Linked DNA regions of Bombyx mori. The protein of the gene in region 2 interacts with the protein of the main gene of each other region in a pairwise test. Links are inferred from orthologs where the notes say so. Each region holds a gene or a part of one and is shown on either strand. Other genes may lie near its edges.

Evidence for each region.
Region 1: the proteins of ral guanine nucleotide dissociation stimulator (region 2) and Ras3 interact in a two-hybrid assay, tested with the Drosophila melanogaster proteins (2 studies listed by BioGRID). The link is inferred for Bombyx mori from reciprocal best matches to the Drosophila melanogaster genes Rgl and Rap1.
Region 3: the proteins of ral guanine nucleotide dissociation stimulator (region 2) and Ras1 interact in a two-hybrid assay, tested with the Drosophila melanogaster proteins (2 studies listed by BioGRID). The link is inferred for Bombyx mori from reciprocal best matches to the Drosophila melanogaster genes Rgl and Ras85D.

The regions. Positions count from the first base shown.
Region 1 is NC_085112.1:14,077,186-14,084,038, forward strand, and holds Ras3 (ras protein), read right to left. Parts: upstream 4,026-6,853; 5' UTR 3,915-4,025; coding exon 3,360-3,914; 3' UTR 1,822-3,359; downstream 1-1,821. UniProt on the Drosophila melanogaster protein: Ras proteins bind GDP/GTP and possess intrinsic GTPase activity. Plays a role in photoreceptor cell determination.
Region 2 is NC_085110.1:13,022,844-13,029,204, reverse strand, and holds part of ral guanine nucleotide dissociation stimulator, read right to left. Parts: intron 5,887-6,361; exon of another isoform or gene 5,165-5,886; coding exon of another isoform or gene 5,096-5,164; intron 4,716-5,095; coding exon 4,611-4,715; intron 1,958-4,610; coding exon 1,806-1,957; intron 921-1,805; coding exon 810-920; intron 1-809.
Region 3 is NC_085127.1:13,616,874-13,621,897, reverse strand, and holds the end of Ras1 (ras-like protein 1), read left to right. Parts: exon of another isoform or gene 1-497; intron 498-571; exon of another isoform or gene 572-792; intron 793-2,253; coding exon 2,254-2,436; 3' UTR 2,437-3,077; downstream 3,078-5,024. UniProt on the Drosophila melanogaster protein: Ras proteins bind GDP/GTP and possess intrinsic GTPase activity. Plays a role in eye development by regulating cell growth, survival of postmitotic ommatidial cells and differentiation of photoreceptor cells.

The DNA.
Region 1 (6,853 bases), on a different chromosome or scaffold from region 2:
GATTTTGTTTAAATCATCCGTCTTCTTCTTGTTCGCTGTAGTTTTAGAAGCCGTGAGCAGGATATAATGATAGTGGAGTGCAGAGTGCGGTGGATAGATAAGGTGTTGAGGTTGAACGCGCCGGAAGTACAGTCCGAGGCGATTTTTATGCTAATGTTCTAGTTAATTTTTGGCGCAATGCTCACGAGTGAAAATGAATATAAACTATTTTTCGAATAGTCTCGAATTATTTTGAATGAAAAATGTTATAAACCAGTTATCTTCGTTCACACTTGTTTACTTACTATAAAACCATTTTTCAATTAACGAATTAGGTTAATTGGATCAGGTTTTCTTTTTTTTTAAAACAATGACGTAATTCATAATTTTGCGTCCCAAATAAAAACGAGTTGTTGTAACGAAATGTGATTTAAATAAGTTTACATTACCAAAAAAGTACATGGGAAAATATCGTAACTGCCCACATTAACAGCCCGTTTACCGCCCACTTTTCGAAGAATGTTCTAGTCGTTATGTAATCCAATTCATTTTAATTGAAAATAAAAGAGTTCTTACAATTCGCAAAATTATTCGCGACCAGCTTATACGTGAATAACGACATTATTAATCGTGTTTGTTATTCAAATTATTCAAGTTCAACTATTCTATTGTAATTTTAGAGATGTATTCGTAAGTAATTACCATGAAAACAATTCCGTCCAATTGGGTTTTAAAAATTAAATTTTAATCATATTTCCGCCTCGAATTACTTATGAATCTTAAAATTGTAGTCTTAAAAACACAAATTTTTGGATTAAAACTTTAGTAGTGAACGAAATAGAATTTAAAAAAAATTAAGATAATTTTTACACGTTCCAAGTCGTAGATATCGGATTGTCGATGCACTGGTTTCCACAAAATCATATCGCACTCGAAGGAATTTACACTTATCGCTATGTATTTTTACGTACCTACAGTTATCATAAAGCAAATTTCATATTATAGAAAACGTATAGGTAATCTGGTTTCGGATATAGTTAGTTGTATTGAATCACAATTTGACCCCGCTGCGTAGATAAGCAAGCTAGACGTTGCCTAACATCCTGATAAAAGCGAATTGTTTTTATGCAGCGTACTTATACTGCATTGTTATGCAAGTTTTACTCTGCATTCCATTTCAAAACGAAATCGGGAATTCGAAAAACTTGTAATAAAACGCTCTTATGAATGTGATCAATAAAGAACGTATTGCGTGGGAAGTCTATATAGATCCAGAGCATTCAAATTGTGACCTTTACATTCACGGCTTTTCAAACCCACCATATTGCAAATTAAGTTTAATTTAGCTTCATAGTTCATCCCATGGTGTGCTCGATCTATGCGTTAGATCTTGTTACACAATATGGGGTGTGCCAGTGGTGAATTAATATAATACTTATTTTATCTAACTAGCTAGATTGCTTGATTATCATAGTTCTGTCGTACTTTGTTAGAATTACGTTAATATGTAGGACTGTGTCAATTCTTATGTTACTAGAATGTCGACATACGACCGCCACGTCTCACTGCGTTTATATTTAATATTATTGTGTGTTCTATAACGTGTAAGCAACACTTTTTATGTATCTTTTTTACACTGAAATAAAATAGTAGCAGATGATGTGCTGTCGTTTAATTTGATTATAAACCATTAAAATTCTCCGAGTCAATTGGTGTTTATTTGATTGTCGGTGGGGGTACGTCGCGCCAGGACCGATAGTTGTACCATGACTCATCAGACACTAACCAGGTCAATTGACATGAGGGGAGCATCACGGGAGGGACAAAATATACCCTAAGACATCATATTTAAAATTGGTTTTATTGATAAATTTGCAAAAGAAAAAGAAATTAATATTTATTGTACATGTCGATTATTATTGATCGAAAGATAAAAATATACAATATTTTCTTTGATTTGCACAATATATATAAAAAAATATAATTAAAAACTCAGATCAAAGTTTTTATACCAATATCCTTGTGCAGTAGTCATTAACTTTAACAGAAGAAAAATTGAGGAAACATCTAATTCTCGTAACAATATTTCAAACATCTATCATTACTTTTAACAAAGTTCTAGCAGCAAAACGTTGGCTGGTATTTAATTAATATTAAAAAATGAGACTGTAATTAGTAAACTTCATTTTATTTATAATAACGATAATTTTTATTTAGAACTCTTTATATTTTTAGGGGTCAATTGTACAGTGCCAATGGTGTAAGCACAACAAATGGCACAGGACTCCACCATAGAGACATCAACAACTATCTGCAGGGTGCAATCACCTAAGGCTTCTCTAAAATTTAAATTTATCAAGTTCTAAACTGTTACGCTAACATTCTCTTCAATACACTTGAATTATATAACAAGACAATAATATATCTGAAAAAATTTAATGTATCCTTAATTATTAAACATTACACTGGTTCAGACCAGCTGGCACAGAATACACCGAGCTTGTCTTCTACAGCCTCCGTCTAAATGTCACATAGACATAACGGATAATTCCAATCAGTACAATTAGACTCTAGTTAACAACCTTATGTTAGGTCCAAACAGCAAATAAAAACTAAATGCTTAATAACTGGCATTTTAACAATTTCAAATGAATAATATGAATTGTTTGTTTAATGCGTGTGCCCTTGATGCGTTTCATGGCAAATGTGTTGTTTTCTCAGGAATTTTCCTGTGTAATTGACAGAAGACTGTCTGTACCCAACACGGTTATTTATAATAACACAATTCATAAAATTTTCCACTGAATTTTGAAAAAAAAAATGGAATTGATTCTAATACTGAGGAGGCCATGGAGAGTGCATGCTGACATCGAAAAATATTTACTGTGGAGTCTATTACGGTTTGTTCAATCATATACTTTGAAGTTTTAGATAAGAATGGGACACACTCCCCATAGGCTCAAAATACAATGTTTTACATCATAAGTAGTAAAGGAATATTTTTTTTATAATCATTTACAACTTCGCAATCTAACCGCATCCACACAATACAAATGGAATTTTCTAGAGTGAAACACACAAAGACAATGAATTTATCCTCAAATACTGTACTATCAAAATAGAGTAAGATATTATTAACTACGCCTGTACAGAGAAAATGTGGTTATCATCAGTGACACTGGATTTCACGAGTGTTACCGCACATGTAATATACAGTGTAACAAACACACATTCTCATACAGGTATTTTGAAGCAACAATGTTCATCACCCGACCTAGATAAACTTTGGGAACTGCCGAGAGCCAAATCTGGGTACAAGAAGTCTTTCAAATTATTAAATATATTTATACCTAGACGCGTCGGAGACTCGTACAGCACTCTTACAGAATAATACATTTCCGTTTATTAGGTTTGTGTTCATCCTTCTTGGGGGACTTCTTGTTGATCTGTCTCACTAAGTCATAGAACACATCGTTAACATGTATTTTCGCTTTTGCCGACGTCTCCATGAAAGCGCAGTTGAAGTGGCGCGCCAGATTTTGTCCCTGTTCCTTGCCAACCACGCGCTCCGCCTCTAGATCGGTTTTGTTGCCTACCAGAACCATTGGCACGTCGGTCGTGTCCTTCACTCGCAGGATTTGTTCACGTAGATCCTGTAGGTCATTGAACGTAGACTGTGCTGTGATAGAGTACACCAACACGAACCCTTGCCCGTTCTTCATGTAGAGATCCCGCATCGCGGTAAACTGCTCTGTACCTGCGGTATCCAGGATCTCGAGCATACATTGCTGTCCATCAACTTCCACTTGTTTCCTGTAGCTGTCTTCGATGGTTGGGTCGTATTTCTCGACAAAGATGCCTTGTACAAATTGCACTGTCAGGGCGGACTTTCCCACGCCTCCGCTGCCTAACACAACTATTTTGTACTCGCGCATTATTCCCTATATTGTGTCACTTGAATTTGTTTATAGAAATTAAAGATCAAATCGGTAATAAGCACATTAACTTGGTAATTATTGCAAAAAAAACCTTCAACAAGTCAAACCGCCATGACACCGTTAAGAGGGCGATGGCTCACTATGTTAGTGTTGCTGACTTGAAAAATTAACCTGATTTCCCATTGACTACCTACTATTCAGTTCACTAGTATTAAGAATATAAATATTTCTACTCACAAACTATAGTATATCGACTCGGCTAATTTAAATAAAACTATTTTTGTTTCGTGTTCTACTTTTAGCAGACACAGAACGACTAATAAAAAATCATGAACAGGACGCTGCACAGGACCAGTACAATTATTTCATTTAGAACAATCAATTGTACTGACTAGCGAATAAATGCATTAATTTAACAAATTTTCGTAAAAAATAATTTTATAATATTAATTAGTGTAATTTTTAAAAAAAGGAATCGTATGTTATTTGATAAATTTTTCGTTTTTTTATCTATGTAGCTAGTGTAGCTACGCAAGACAATTTTTATTTATTTAGACTGCTAATAGTTCTAAAAGCTGTGTACAGAGGGCAGTGCAACAAATTTTCAAAAGGTTGTCGCTAAGGACACGACACTTTAGGGAGAATTAATTGTTATCAGTATAAGCTATATTATAAATTTTATTTCTTTATATCATCCTCCTGTTTATTTTTTATTTAATGAAGCAATCTCAGTTTTAAAGGAGGCCGTTCCAATGAATAAAATGGTGTCTTCAAATGCCTCATGCTTTAATACGACTGGGTCGCGAGATCTCCAGGGCTTTTTTTTGTTTATTGCCCTTGTAGGCAGACGCAGTGGCGGATTTACCCTAAGGCCCGGTAGGCCCGGGCCTAGGGCGGCCAGATTTAAGGATTTAACGTATGGCGGGCGGACTGCACTGCATGATGCAATCTATACCGCATCCTTAAATATTCTTCTGTTTTTTAAACTATTTTTTTTCCTACTTTTCTAAATCTATTTAGCTAAAAGTTGGCAATAAAGTAATTTCATTATGTAGTCTATATGGTGGATGCTGAGAAAGGGGCGGCTAATGGCTTGGGGCTTAGGGCGGCCGAGACTGCAAATCCGCCACTGAGCATACGGCCCACCTGACGGTGAGTGGTTACCGTTGCCCATGGACTTCAACAATGCCAGGGGCAGAGTCAAGCCACTGGCTACCGCTTAATACTCTCCACGAGCCTCGTTTGAAGAAGGACATGTCATAGCGCTCGGGAAACACCGTGGAGGGGAGCTCATTCCAAAGCCGGATGGTACGTGGCAAAAAAGACCTCTGGAAACGCACTGTCGATGAACGCACGGTTCCAGATAATATGGATGAACTCTGCTCCGATGGCGTGAGGTGCGATGATAAAAAGGAGATGAGGGGATCATATCAAACAATTCTTCAGAGCACTCCCCATAGCACATACGGTACAAAATACAGAGGGAGCCGAAGTCCCTCCGCAGACCCAGAGGCTCCAAACGATCCGTGAGAATGGGATTATCGACAATCCGGACCGTCCTCTACTGTATGGAGTCAAATGGAAGAAGCTTGTATTTGGGAGCCCCGGCCCAGAGATGGGAGTAGTACTCCACGCGAAGCCGGACTCGTGCTTTATAAAGCAAGTCTTTGTCCAGGCGTGAAGTACCGCTTCGCTCTGTTGAGGACTCCCAGCATTTTGGACGCTAGCTTGTCTTTACTTTCTAAATGACTCCGAAATTGGATATCGCTCGAAATGTCGACCCCAAGTATCCCTATACTCTCGGAAGGTTGCAGGGATAATCCTTGGAATTGCGGCGCCATGACAAAGGGGTCCTTCTTTACTAACTTTCTTTCACTAACTAAAGCCCACAGATCTACTTGTACAAGTAAAATTATTGCGTTTGAATTGTGAAAAGATTACATTCTTGAAATGCATGTTGTAAGTTGATAATTTACTATTAGTCTTTGATTGCATACCAGGAAGATGATTCACGGAGGTTAACGTCTTCAAGAATGTGCCCAGTCGTGAAGCTGTAAGTCATGTCAAAGTGAGCCATATATTGTCGAGTCAAACACATTTAATGGGTTAACACGTAGAATTTCTATGATTCCGAGGCTGCCCTCGTCTATGAGAATTAAAAAATATGATAATTATTATTTATATTTTACATTCATACGGACAACGCTTCTGTGTATTCTCTGATTGAGTGAAGGAAGATGTAGGGTGATACTATTGAAGTTTACATAAATATTTATTGATTGTATTATATAAGCTCGAAAGGGCAGGTCGCGAATTATACGTCGGCTGGGCGTCCTTGGGGTGAGCCGCGCCGTCTGGTTGTAGAGTTGACCGCGGTAGCCCCCCTACCTCATCCGGGTTCTGACCTCGGAGGGGATCGGACGTCGGGTGTAAGAGTGCAGGGGAGTCGTTTAGTGGGTGGGTCCTAAAATCCTTGGGCCCGCGGTCTGCTCACAACACCATGCAGATCGTTGAGTCTCACATACCCCGCGCGCCCCTTTTGCGCGGGGACCTCGTAGGAGGTTCGGCCCTCTACCCGAAAAAAAAAAAAAAAAAAAAAGGTCGCGAATTATAACTAATACGTTAAACTAATATGCCAAATCGTGCCAAATCGTGGCGGGTTTCCTTAAGCGAATAAAAATAGCAATAATGAATTGGTTAAGAAAAGTTGGGAAAAAGATAGAAGTAGACCCCCTGATTATGTAAAGAAATCGATAATGTAGGAGCAATCTGGCAATAGCAGCTCATAAACAGGGTTGTCAGGACAGTAAAATTAAAGAAAAAATTATACAGCTCATCGCCAACTTTGGAACGATTTTTTTTATTGCCCTCTTAGGTAGACGAGCACACGGCCCACCTGATGGTGAGTGGTTACCGTCGCCCATGGACTTCAGCAA
Region 2 (6,361 bases):
TAGTGAAATAAGAGCGTAAAAAATCCACATCAGCTTTCTTGCACCCGTTTTAATTTTTATGCAAATACTTTTAAAGCTAGCTTAGATAAAATTCCTACCATCCCTCGAAAGTAATTCGCGAAGTAATAAAATGTTTCGATTTGAAGGTTGGGCCTCATGTCTCAAGGTGGACGTCGCCATTTACGTGGTCTGTGGGTTCTGATAACCACTTAACAGCAGCTCGTTTACCTGGCTATGCAATAAAAAAAAAACTGGAACTCAACTGTATCTTTAGTAAATTGAAACACAAAACATAACGAAATCGTGAACTACACTATTTGCTTCATACTATTTAATAATGTACGCACAATTTTTAAATACTTTATTCGAAGCTCTCAGTGTTTATATAACGTGACATTTTGTTGATAGTTACAATCATTAATGCAAGTTAATAAATTGTTACATTATCTGAACATAACAAATAAAAAAAAATTAATATAAAATGGGATTTTACAAATAAAATGAAATTCGAAAATGGTAGCCCCGTAAAGTTTACAATGACAACTTATTTACGTCTTACACCCCATTATTTTCCACCTATTTTTGCCACGAAGCAGTAATGCCTTCCATTTTGAAGGATGGGGCAGCCGTTATACCATAACAGTGAGACTTAGAGCTTTTATCGCAATATCTTGAAGTTTATGGGCTTCGCTAACTACTTAACACTAGCTGGGAAACAAGTTGATTTATCCGTCTAAATAACAAATAACTAATTAATAACAACACTACAATCTAATTCTTCATCTTAATAGAAATTACGTGAAACATACTTTCGGTGTTGTTGTGATGTGTCAGTCGCAGCGGGAAGTATGTCCTCAGCGGCAAGGGTTTCATACCGTCGCAGCAGGAGATCCAGAACATGACTGCATTCCGCGAATGACCTGAAAATGAAATGACAATAATTTGTGATAGCAGTTTTATCGTCATAGACATCATAAGTTGAATGCTGACATCCACCATAGGCCATGAAGTCAGAGTGTTAATTATATAAATATAAGTAATGCCGTGAAGCAGTAATGCGTTTCGGCTTGAAGGCTGTGGCTGCCGTTGTGACTATACTTGAGACCATAGAACTTATATCTCAAGGTGAGTGGCGCATTTATGTCGTAGATGTCTATGGGCTCCAGTAACCACTTAACACCAGGTGGGCTCTGAGCTCATCCACCCCTCTAAGCCATAAAAAATAAAAAACCCATCTGGCAGTAATTGGTTAGCGTCGCCTATGGATAGTAGCAATGACAGAGACACCGTCAGCCGAAAGAATTAGTCGTACCTATAGATACTATACATATTATCATTTGAAGATTCGATTATGTAATAATTGAAACTTCACTAGTCATTAAAGTTATCATGTCTATGAACTGAACTACTTGAGGTGTATACGAACATACATTTTAAAGTTTAAAAAAATCGTATCTTTTGTTAAATTAAATATGAATCGGAATCTAAATCTATCTTCTATATAAAAATGAATTGCTGTTCGTTAGTCTCGCTAAAACTCGGGAACGGCTGGACCGATTTGGCTAATTTTGGTCTTAAATTATTTGTGGAAGTCCAGAGAAGGTTTAAAAGGTAGATAAATATGAAAATGCTGGAATTAAATAAAAATAACAATTTTGTTTTTCCTTTGATGTGTCCCCCCTCGGTCGGATTCCTTTTGTTTGTTTTATTTTAAACAAAAGCTTATTTATCTCTCTTTTATTTATCGATTGAGGCACTACGAAGTCTGCCGGGTTAGCTAGTTATAAATAAGTAATAGTAATAACCGGTACGTCGCGAGGAACACATTGACGTATGTGGACTCGAGTTCGCCGTCGTCGGTAGCGAGCGCCTCCACTAGCCGCTCGACTGTGCCGGCTTTTACGAACCGTACACGTACGGTTTCCCACTCTAAATGTGAGATCTCGTCGTCAGACTCCTGGAAAATAGGAACGAATTTAAAAAGTTATATCGATTTTTTAAACCAAAAAGGATCTATGTTTATCTTTAAAGTGTTGTTGCATGTGTAGCCTACCGTAAAATGTTCTCGATGGAAAAAGGACCTAAAAGTGTAAATAACTACTTCTGACTAATATTAATTCTGACTAATATTTAGGTGCCCGTTATTAAACAAAACATAATTTTGTATGATTAATTGCTTTACAATGAAATCTATTGAATTTAAATAGGCCCTTATTAGTTCGAATTATGAAATTTTCAGAGTACTCACAGTTTATCTAATTACGCTTGTTTAGATATTAAGATTTTAGTTTAGATATTAGATAACATTGAATCACTACCGACCATTGTAAAGTCATTCATAATTTCGATACGCAGTACTAATTATGTTTAACAATGGTCTAGCGCCTACCTCTTCTCATAATAACCCAATCACTAGATAAATACCGTGGGAAAAGAAACTCATTTGTTGCATCTTCATCATAATGTAGACACGCAATTACCTAAATAATTGTTACAAGCAAAAGCAAGAATAGTTTCATGGAAAAAACATTTTGCATTTTTAGTAGTAGTTAATGGCTTCAAAACATCTACTTCTCTGTGGTGATGTGAGTCTGTTTATACCCAATTCCACATGCATAGTAATAATCGAAATTGGACTGCAATCACTAACACCGCAAATTTTAAATTCATACTATTAATACATTTTCTTGTAAGGTACTGATATTTTCGATACGATTTATTTTCAGAAAATGTTGTTTTATTCGTGTTTTCAATAATCAACTCTTCCCGACATCTATTGGCGAATAATAATACTATTTTTCTTAATTGAGGGCAACTAACTGCTTTAAAGACACGAAAAGATGGCGTTTTCAAAAAAAAAACCGAGCAAACCTCCGTCATCATATAGTATGGATATAATACGTCATACGTAAAGTGAAAAAATAACAACGGGCGTGACACTAGTAACGACACTTACGTCTGATTTCGTTTATCACATATTACATTGAAACATCAAAACATACATTTATTAGCATAAACATTTAATATATAATTGTACGTAACTTCATTAATGGTGTGCACATTCATATTACTTTTGGTCATCCGGGATGTGAGTGCTGTATTAAAAGTTAAAACCAACATTATTGCTACGTACTGTTTTAATTCGACAACTATAATGTTATCGCGACCACCAATCGAATTAACAGCGTATAGGTACACTTGCTATTAGATGTTCGTTGTTCGATATTATTTGAATAAAATTGTCTACCTGTATGATAACATTTACGGATATATATATTTTTATTACATGATGTTATTCCTTCACCGTGGAAGTCGATCGTGAACATTTGTTGAATACATATTTCATTAGAAAAATTGGTACTGGCCTGAGATTCGAACACCGGTGCATCGCTCAACACGAATGCACCGGACGTCTTATCCTTTAGGCCACGACGACTTCATATAATTCTAGAAGAATATACTGATTATAATAAAGGAGTACGAATGGTTTTAAGGTGTAGTGACCTAATCAACTTAACTGTTAAACCAAAACAAGGCTTTGATACCTTATTTATGCATTTATTTTAATTTTGTTAATTTATTTTAATTATTCTTTATACAACTTATAAGAAATTGAATGTAGGCAGAATTCATACTATGGATTTTCTTTGACTCCACTTTTGGGTCATACCTCTTCACGGCCATGCTCTCACCGTTCTTATTCTTACAAAGAATTATGGAAGCAATAAAAAAGTAATATAATACAAATCTTTCCTACTACATTAATAAAATTAAATTAATACATACACATATATACTAGATGTACATATGTACTAAATGTAATATGTACCTATCTATAAATGCTTTAAGTTATTAATATTTATAGCTAAAGTGTTTCGAGTTTCCAAATTGTATACGATTTTGGGTTATGTTTATTTACATGATTCATCAAATAATTCGACCAGTTAACCTGATCGATACGCCAAAAAAGAAAATTGCTAGCCGTGTAATTGAGATTATTGCTAACACTCACATTGCGTTTTTTATATCGAAATGCTTATATTTATTGTTTATCTACATAGACTAAGAACAATGTAGTGAATTAATCGGTCGTCGCAAGACGTTGACTTTTTTTTTTAATTGTTACATGTTTGGACGAGTTCACGGCCCACCTGGTGTTAAGTGGTTACTGGAGCCCATGGACATCTACAACGTAAATGCGCCACCCAACTTGAGATATAAGTTCTAAGATCTCAGTATAGTTACAACGTCTGCCCCACCCTTCAAACCGAAGCGCATTACTGCTTCACGGCAGAAATAGGCGGGGCGGTGGTACCTACCCGCGCGGACTCACAAGAGGTCCTACCACTTGTACAGTAATCGTTTCGCAGTTTTCGCAATGAAAAAGTTGGAAATAATATAACGACAATAAAAAACGCGTGATTAAACCGTAGTAAAAAGTAGTTCTAAAAACGATATCCATTATTAGCGCTAAGCAAAAATTCAAATACATATCTATCAAATTAACAAATCCTTGGCGCCGAGGCGAGATAACAACAACACAGTAAAGTAATGTCTCCCTACAGCCTATCTTTGCTGTCGGAAACATTTGTATAGTTAAAAATACTTACACTTGAAGCACTTTTGGTAGGTCGATGGTAACGCACTTTCTTCAGATAAACGGTGTAGATGGCGCCGTCCACGCGCTCTTCCCCCCACAACCGCCATGTTGGCTGCTGGAACACACCAGAAATAGGTCAACACAAACAGCTTAAATTAAAACAAACATTAAACGCAAATAAAAAGCTAAATTTGAATCACAATTTAACTGTCAAGCCTACATTTTCTTCATCGAGGGTATGCTGCCTCAAACAGATAACACAATCTTCTAATGACAAAACGGACATTGCCGACAATTCATAAAACTCCCGGCGCCTGTGCATTCTAAATAATACTAATACGTTAAAGACAAACAAAGTTATATATGTCATCACCTTATAATCATTAAGTCGAATGATTACAAGTATTGCACCTTACAAGGAAAGATAAAGAACATGCAATAATTACATAGATCACTCGAGTCGGACAATATGGTATGCAATTGTATAACGCTTACATAATCATTATCTACGTTATCAGCAAACAGTACGGGCTCTGCCTTACTGACGCCGCATATTCTCCACATGGCCCATATCCGAGAACGTCACGCGCGACGTCACTTCGCTCAGCTGAGCGTCCCCCGCATCGCGCTTACTTTCACTACCACGGCGCGCTAATCTACGACATCACACTATAGTAACCATCGGCAAAACCAAAGAATCTTATAACTGGATCAATCAATGGCGAACACCGACTGAATAGGCTGGCAGCTCAGACGTGCGTGACTTTGGTGAAATCGCCGCACACTCGGACAGTGGCATACATGTCGACAACTGTATCCGGCTTGAACGTCCACTTTATAAGTATTTTATGTCAGCTAAAAGAATGCCCTATATATTTTTCATTAAATTTTACTCGAAAACAAAATCAATCACGAATAATAACGATTAAAGTTTCGTACATATTCAAATCAAAACACAAAATCATTCACAACACTTCCATTGAGCCATTAAAATATCAATTGTTAAGACGATAGTTGTACGCAATGTTTATGTGCTATTTCGATTGAAGACTAAAACTTTCACATCCACAGAACACTTAACTGGCACTTAAAGTTTAATTTAATTGACAAAACAACCGGGCAACGAAACGATGTCAATGAATTTATGTAGGTCAAAAATTCACTTGTAAAAACAATGAATTTATTTAATAGTAGTACATAAAAACATTATGTGGCAGAAACGCTGATGCTACGGCGCGGTCACGGCATGACTGTTCTCGTGTGCTGGAGAGATCGCGTGAAAAACCGCAATACAACACGTCAATGGGGCAGACGATCTAGATTGCAACGGAGCTAAAACAATGAACATAATGGGCACAACACGTGCTCAACACATACGTACAATACCTAATAGGATTGCATTCATACGTTACTACTCAGCAGGTATCGGATAACATTGAAATAAGTCGAAGCAAGATTACTAAAATTCTAAATTTTTAATGTTCACATATTTATTCGTAAATAACTTCAAACAGAATATAGTGTTTTCATCATCACAAATTATAATTATTCAAGTAGCAGTTTTACAAGTTAAGTGTTTCATGGCAACACATTCAATTATTTTCCAAAACATATTTCGTCGTATGCTGAATAAAATTCGTACAGTATGCAAAAAAAACTTTATTAACTTTAACTAATTTCTTATAATATAATAATTCACTATCTAACGAAACTTATTAATTTCTCTAATTCTTTTACTCGTGACAAATTAGATCTGTGAAG
Region 3 (5,024 bases), on a different chromosome or scaffold from region 2:
ATTAACTGTTTAAGCATGATTGAGTAACAAACACCAAAAGTCTTCACAAACTACATTTATATTATTAGTATGATATATTTTTAATACAATTGAGATGGAATTCATGTCCCAAGTCGTGTGGCAGCGTCGATAGGTTCCGGTAACCTCTGCAATCTCCTTGCGTCAAATCCTCAATGCTGGAGGTTGTGATCACCATTTTTCCGTATGATGTTCCTCCAATAATTCCGACTCTCAGCTGCACATGATGTCTCGGCGACCTTGATTCGGCCTGTTAGGCGTATTGGACTCTATCATTTTTCGCTCCAGTTTTCTGGTGACGATCAATTTTTGAGGAGGACTGCTGTAACCATTTGACGTCAGATTTTTTTTATTGCTTAGATGGTTGGACGAGCTCACAGCCCATCTGGTGTTGAGTGGTTACTGGAGCCCATAGACATCTACAACGTAAATGCGCCACCCACCTTAAAAATGTCCATCAGACATATGTCTATCCATAGCTATAAAACAAACAACTTTGTATGTAAACACGTTTAATTTTAACTTAAATACAAGTTCCATAAATGTTTATCACCATAATATCGCTTAACAAATACAAAAACATGACGTCGTTTAGCGGCCATTGTTTCCCTTCGCCTATGTCATTCGTTCGATCAGTGACGTCAACGACAGCTAAGAACGTCAGCTTATGACTTAGTGATTCGTTAATAATATCAGCTAACGTCATATGTTGAGCATCGTCTTTGCATCGATAAGTCGGTTTTTCACTTATCAAATGAAATTTTTTAAGCTCTCGTCACGGTTTATATTTGAATAATTCCAAACCAAATTTAGAAGAGAGAGAGAGTGTTCTAATGTAAACCAAAAAAGTAAATTGTAAAAAAGTTTTTTTTTATTGCCTTTTTTGATGGGTGGACGAGCTCACAGTCCACCTGTTGTTAAGTGGTCACTGGAGCCCATAGACATCTACAACGTAAATACACCACCCACCTTGAGATGTAAGTTCTAAGGTCTCAGTATAGTTACAACGGCTGCCCTACCCTTCAAACCGAAACGCATTACTGCTTCACGGCAGAAATAGGCAGGGCGGTGGTACCTACCCGTGCGGACTCACAAGAGGTTCTATCACCAGTAATTACGCAAATTATAATTTTGCAGGTTTGATTTATATTACACGATGTTATTCCTTCACCGTGGAAGTCAATCATGAACATTTGTTAAGTGCGTATTTTATTAAAAAAATTGGTACCTGCCTGCGGGATTCGAATACCGGTGAATCGCTAGATACGAATGCACCGGACATCTTATCCTTTGGGCCACGACGACTTCTGTAAAATGCTAAACATTAAATACAAGAAAAAAGTACAATTGGCGGTATTATCTCTAAGAGCGATCTCTAAGAGAGAAGCATAGCATACTTTATGTTCAATAGCGGGGACGTAGTAATAAACAAAGAGGCGGTCCTGATATTAAGTGGTTACCGCGGCCCGTGGACATCATAGTCTGAAAGTTATAATTGTTTTATTGCCGAGAGCAGTGAACGAGTTCGCGACCCACCTTGATTACCGTAGTCCATAGACATCGCAACGTGAACCACGAGGCATGAGGTCGAAATCCCGATTGTTTAACAACTACAGCTGATCTCACGTTGCATTGTCTATATCATATCTGTCTCTTATGTCCCAGTTTATCGTTTTTAATCAGATGGACGTTGAGTTTAAACTTTCACGTCATGATAACAATATCGATTTGCTTGTGGTAGCCTCTGGGAACTCACAGTGCTCCGCACCAATAGAAGTACTCGCAACCGGAATTAAGTATAAAGATATGAGTTATGTTGGAATATGGACCGATGATTGAGGAGTGATGGGAGTAGTTATAATCTAGAGGTGGCCTAGGTCACATACGTATCTTCTGATTAATAACCCCAGAGATTGACATTTATGACCTCTGTTATAATTCCATTACCAGTAATTTAATTTGGACAAGACCTTTGCAAGAGTATTAAAACCAAAAAGTCCCTATACACCTATATTAACTTACGTTACACAACTGATTCAAAAAAGTACCTCAATTTCGATAACTCTAAGCATGTTTCTTGAGAGTAAAATAAGTTCTTACAACTCAAATATGGAAAACCGGCCACCACCTGCTTAGCTAAGCCCGGGTATTGTTGATGTTTATAAGGATTTATGATCGCACACAATGTGGTGGGACGTATGCTCCTTATTTTAATACGTAACAATATTATTGCAGGTGGCGCAAAGCTATAATGTTCCGTTCGTCGAAACATCGGCCAAAACACGCATGGGAGTTGACGACGCTTTCTACACGCTCGTGAGGGAGATACGCAAAGATAAAGTCAGCCGAGACAAGAAATTCAAAGGGAAGAAACCACGTCACGTTCACAAAATAATTAAAGATTGCACCCTTTTTTAAGCTGAAAAGAGCTGCAGTTTCGGAATTACACGCTTGTCTTTCGCCTCCACCGCCCATATAGTATTACAGACCTCATAAAAGAAGCAAGGCAGAGATTAAATTTGTAGTTTTTGCATGCATTGTATCGTGAACCATTAATTTGGCGGTAAAAAAACCGGTTGTGTCACCTTTCGAAAACAGTACCATAGATTATATTACACGCAAACGGATATGTTGCCAATTGTGCGGGTGTGTGTGTGCGTTAGCATCTCGAACTCTGATTTGTCCGTAAAAAAATGATTTTACTGTAGACTGTAGATCACGAAAGAACATCCTAAGAATCTTAATTAATACAAATACAAATTGCGTGTCTACGTGTTTATATGTGTGGATACGGCCGTCTGGCAAGCGTGTAAACCCGGCATACGTCACCGTTCACTCGGCATCGTCTGTAGCGAGCGAATAATATATTTCAATTTACAAAAACCTTGGTCTTACGAGATTTTATATCCATTCTTCATAAAGGGACTGGTTGTTTGTTGCAAAGTCAATTTCGTTTTACAAAGAAAATATTAGTGTAGAAGAGGCAATAAATATAATAACTAAAAAAATCGAAATTCCTTTCCGAAGCATTTTGGCCTAAAGATAACATCGTTTTGCCATTAAAAAAATACAAACAAAAAACTTAAGAAATTACAAATAAATGAAATGTAATTTTTTTTTTTGTGTTCTGAATTATTATTTATTATAATCCAGTTCCTTTTATTACGTCTGTCAGCCGTTCGCTTCTAACTAGGTATAATATAGAAGGTCTTTGAAGATAATTGAACCAGTTTAAAAAATCCTTAAATAAATAAATAAATAATTAAGTTTCATTATCCGCTCAAACGGCGGCATTAAATAAGGTATAATATCAAAATTTGTTATCAATTTAATGTATTATTAATAAGATCATTGTTGGATGTTTTCTACTGTAGCTAATGTAATGTTTAGCGCGACTTTTTTCTATATCTACAAATCGAGAGCTATAATGCTTGGTTCTCTTCTTTTTTTTCTATGCATTTTTACTGTTGTATGTTCTAACGACGCTGTTTCAGATACTTTATCATCTGCAGGAAGCCTAAATTAAAATTGCCAACGCGAACAGTAATTTTGTAGGACACTATAAATTCAGAACATACCTGTCGCAGTGTACAATGAATCATGCAAACGAATTTTTTTTTGGGTTTTTTTTTAACAGAATAACAAAATAATATTGTCATTTTACTGTAGTTTTAGTTGTATTGCGTTTCAATACGTAGTTTAAGTATTTTAAGTGAACAAAGTGCAATCGAAAATACAGTAATAAAATTAAAATACACAATTTTTTTATTTTTGTTTGTATTTTTGTTTGCACGTTGTATTTAGTTTTATTTAGAACAAAACGCGGTAAGGCGTTGCCATGGAGACAGTACCAGCAATATCATTGCCATTATATATATATTATTTTTTTCTTACAACTTACCATCAAAAATGTAATTTTTGTTTAAAAATTTTCTGTATTTATGGAATAATTAATCAAATGAAATTTCACGTGTAACGTTCGTGTCATACGTTTTTATTGTATAATTAATAAAATAGGAGTTTCGAAGCTAATGCACAATTTTGTTGAAAATAGTTTTATCTTTTAACTCTAAAATACTGTAACTGTATAGCACAATTGTGTGCTCATGAAAATAAATTAACTAAGTACATACTATTTTTATTTTACAACCGCGGTCCAATCCTCCATTTTATCAATAGGTACTGCATGATTTGGAAAAAACAAAATGACCTACATTGCTATGCATATTGCTAAACTATGTCTCCGGTTACTATACTGTAATTAGACAAAGACAAACACTAACATTGTGTTTATGTTTCGTTACATACTCATAACTGTTTTTAAGCTACTGCATAGCTTCTATCGCGGGCCTTGAGCGCGGCGACTGAATCAAGAAATTCCGTAACGAAAATAACCTGACACCCCCCACTACGCCTACTAGGTAGCTCACGTTAAACACATTCACACGTTGCACTTGTGTAGTGTTTGTGAATAAGCGCGCGGCGTGACGTCGCACTGCCGCATGCACATCATGAAAAGTCTGCCCATCTCCGTCGCGCGGTCTAGGTTATGAGTGTGAAGGGGACAGTTAATGTTTTGCTTTTGTTAATGTTTGTAAATATAGCGTGGTCTTATTTCATTGTTGTTTTAATATTAAATTATTATTTTCGATTTATAATTGCATAAGTTGATAAAAAATGCTATGCAATAGCTTTACCGCAGCAGTCTCAGAGTAAAAAGAGTCTTTAGTAAAAACAATAGACAAGCCTTAGTCTGTTTTCTTGGAAATGAGCATTTTTTTTAAATGTCTGTTAAATAATAGATTTAGAAATTAATCTAAATATTGGTCTCGGTGATTATGTACCAACTTCGATTATTCGGCTTGTATTCGCCAAATGATTGTAGTTGGACCACATAGTATTTCTCCGGGTGTCTGACACCTGATAAACATAATTGCTTTGATGGAATTTAACACATTGACTGGCATGTGGATCAGATTGACAACACTGTTAGAGTTATATCAGAT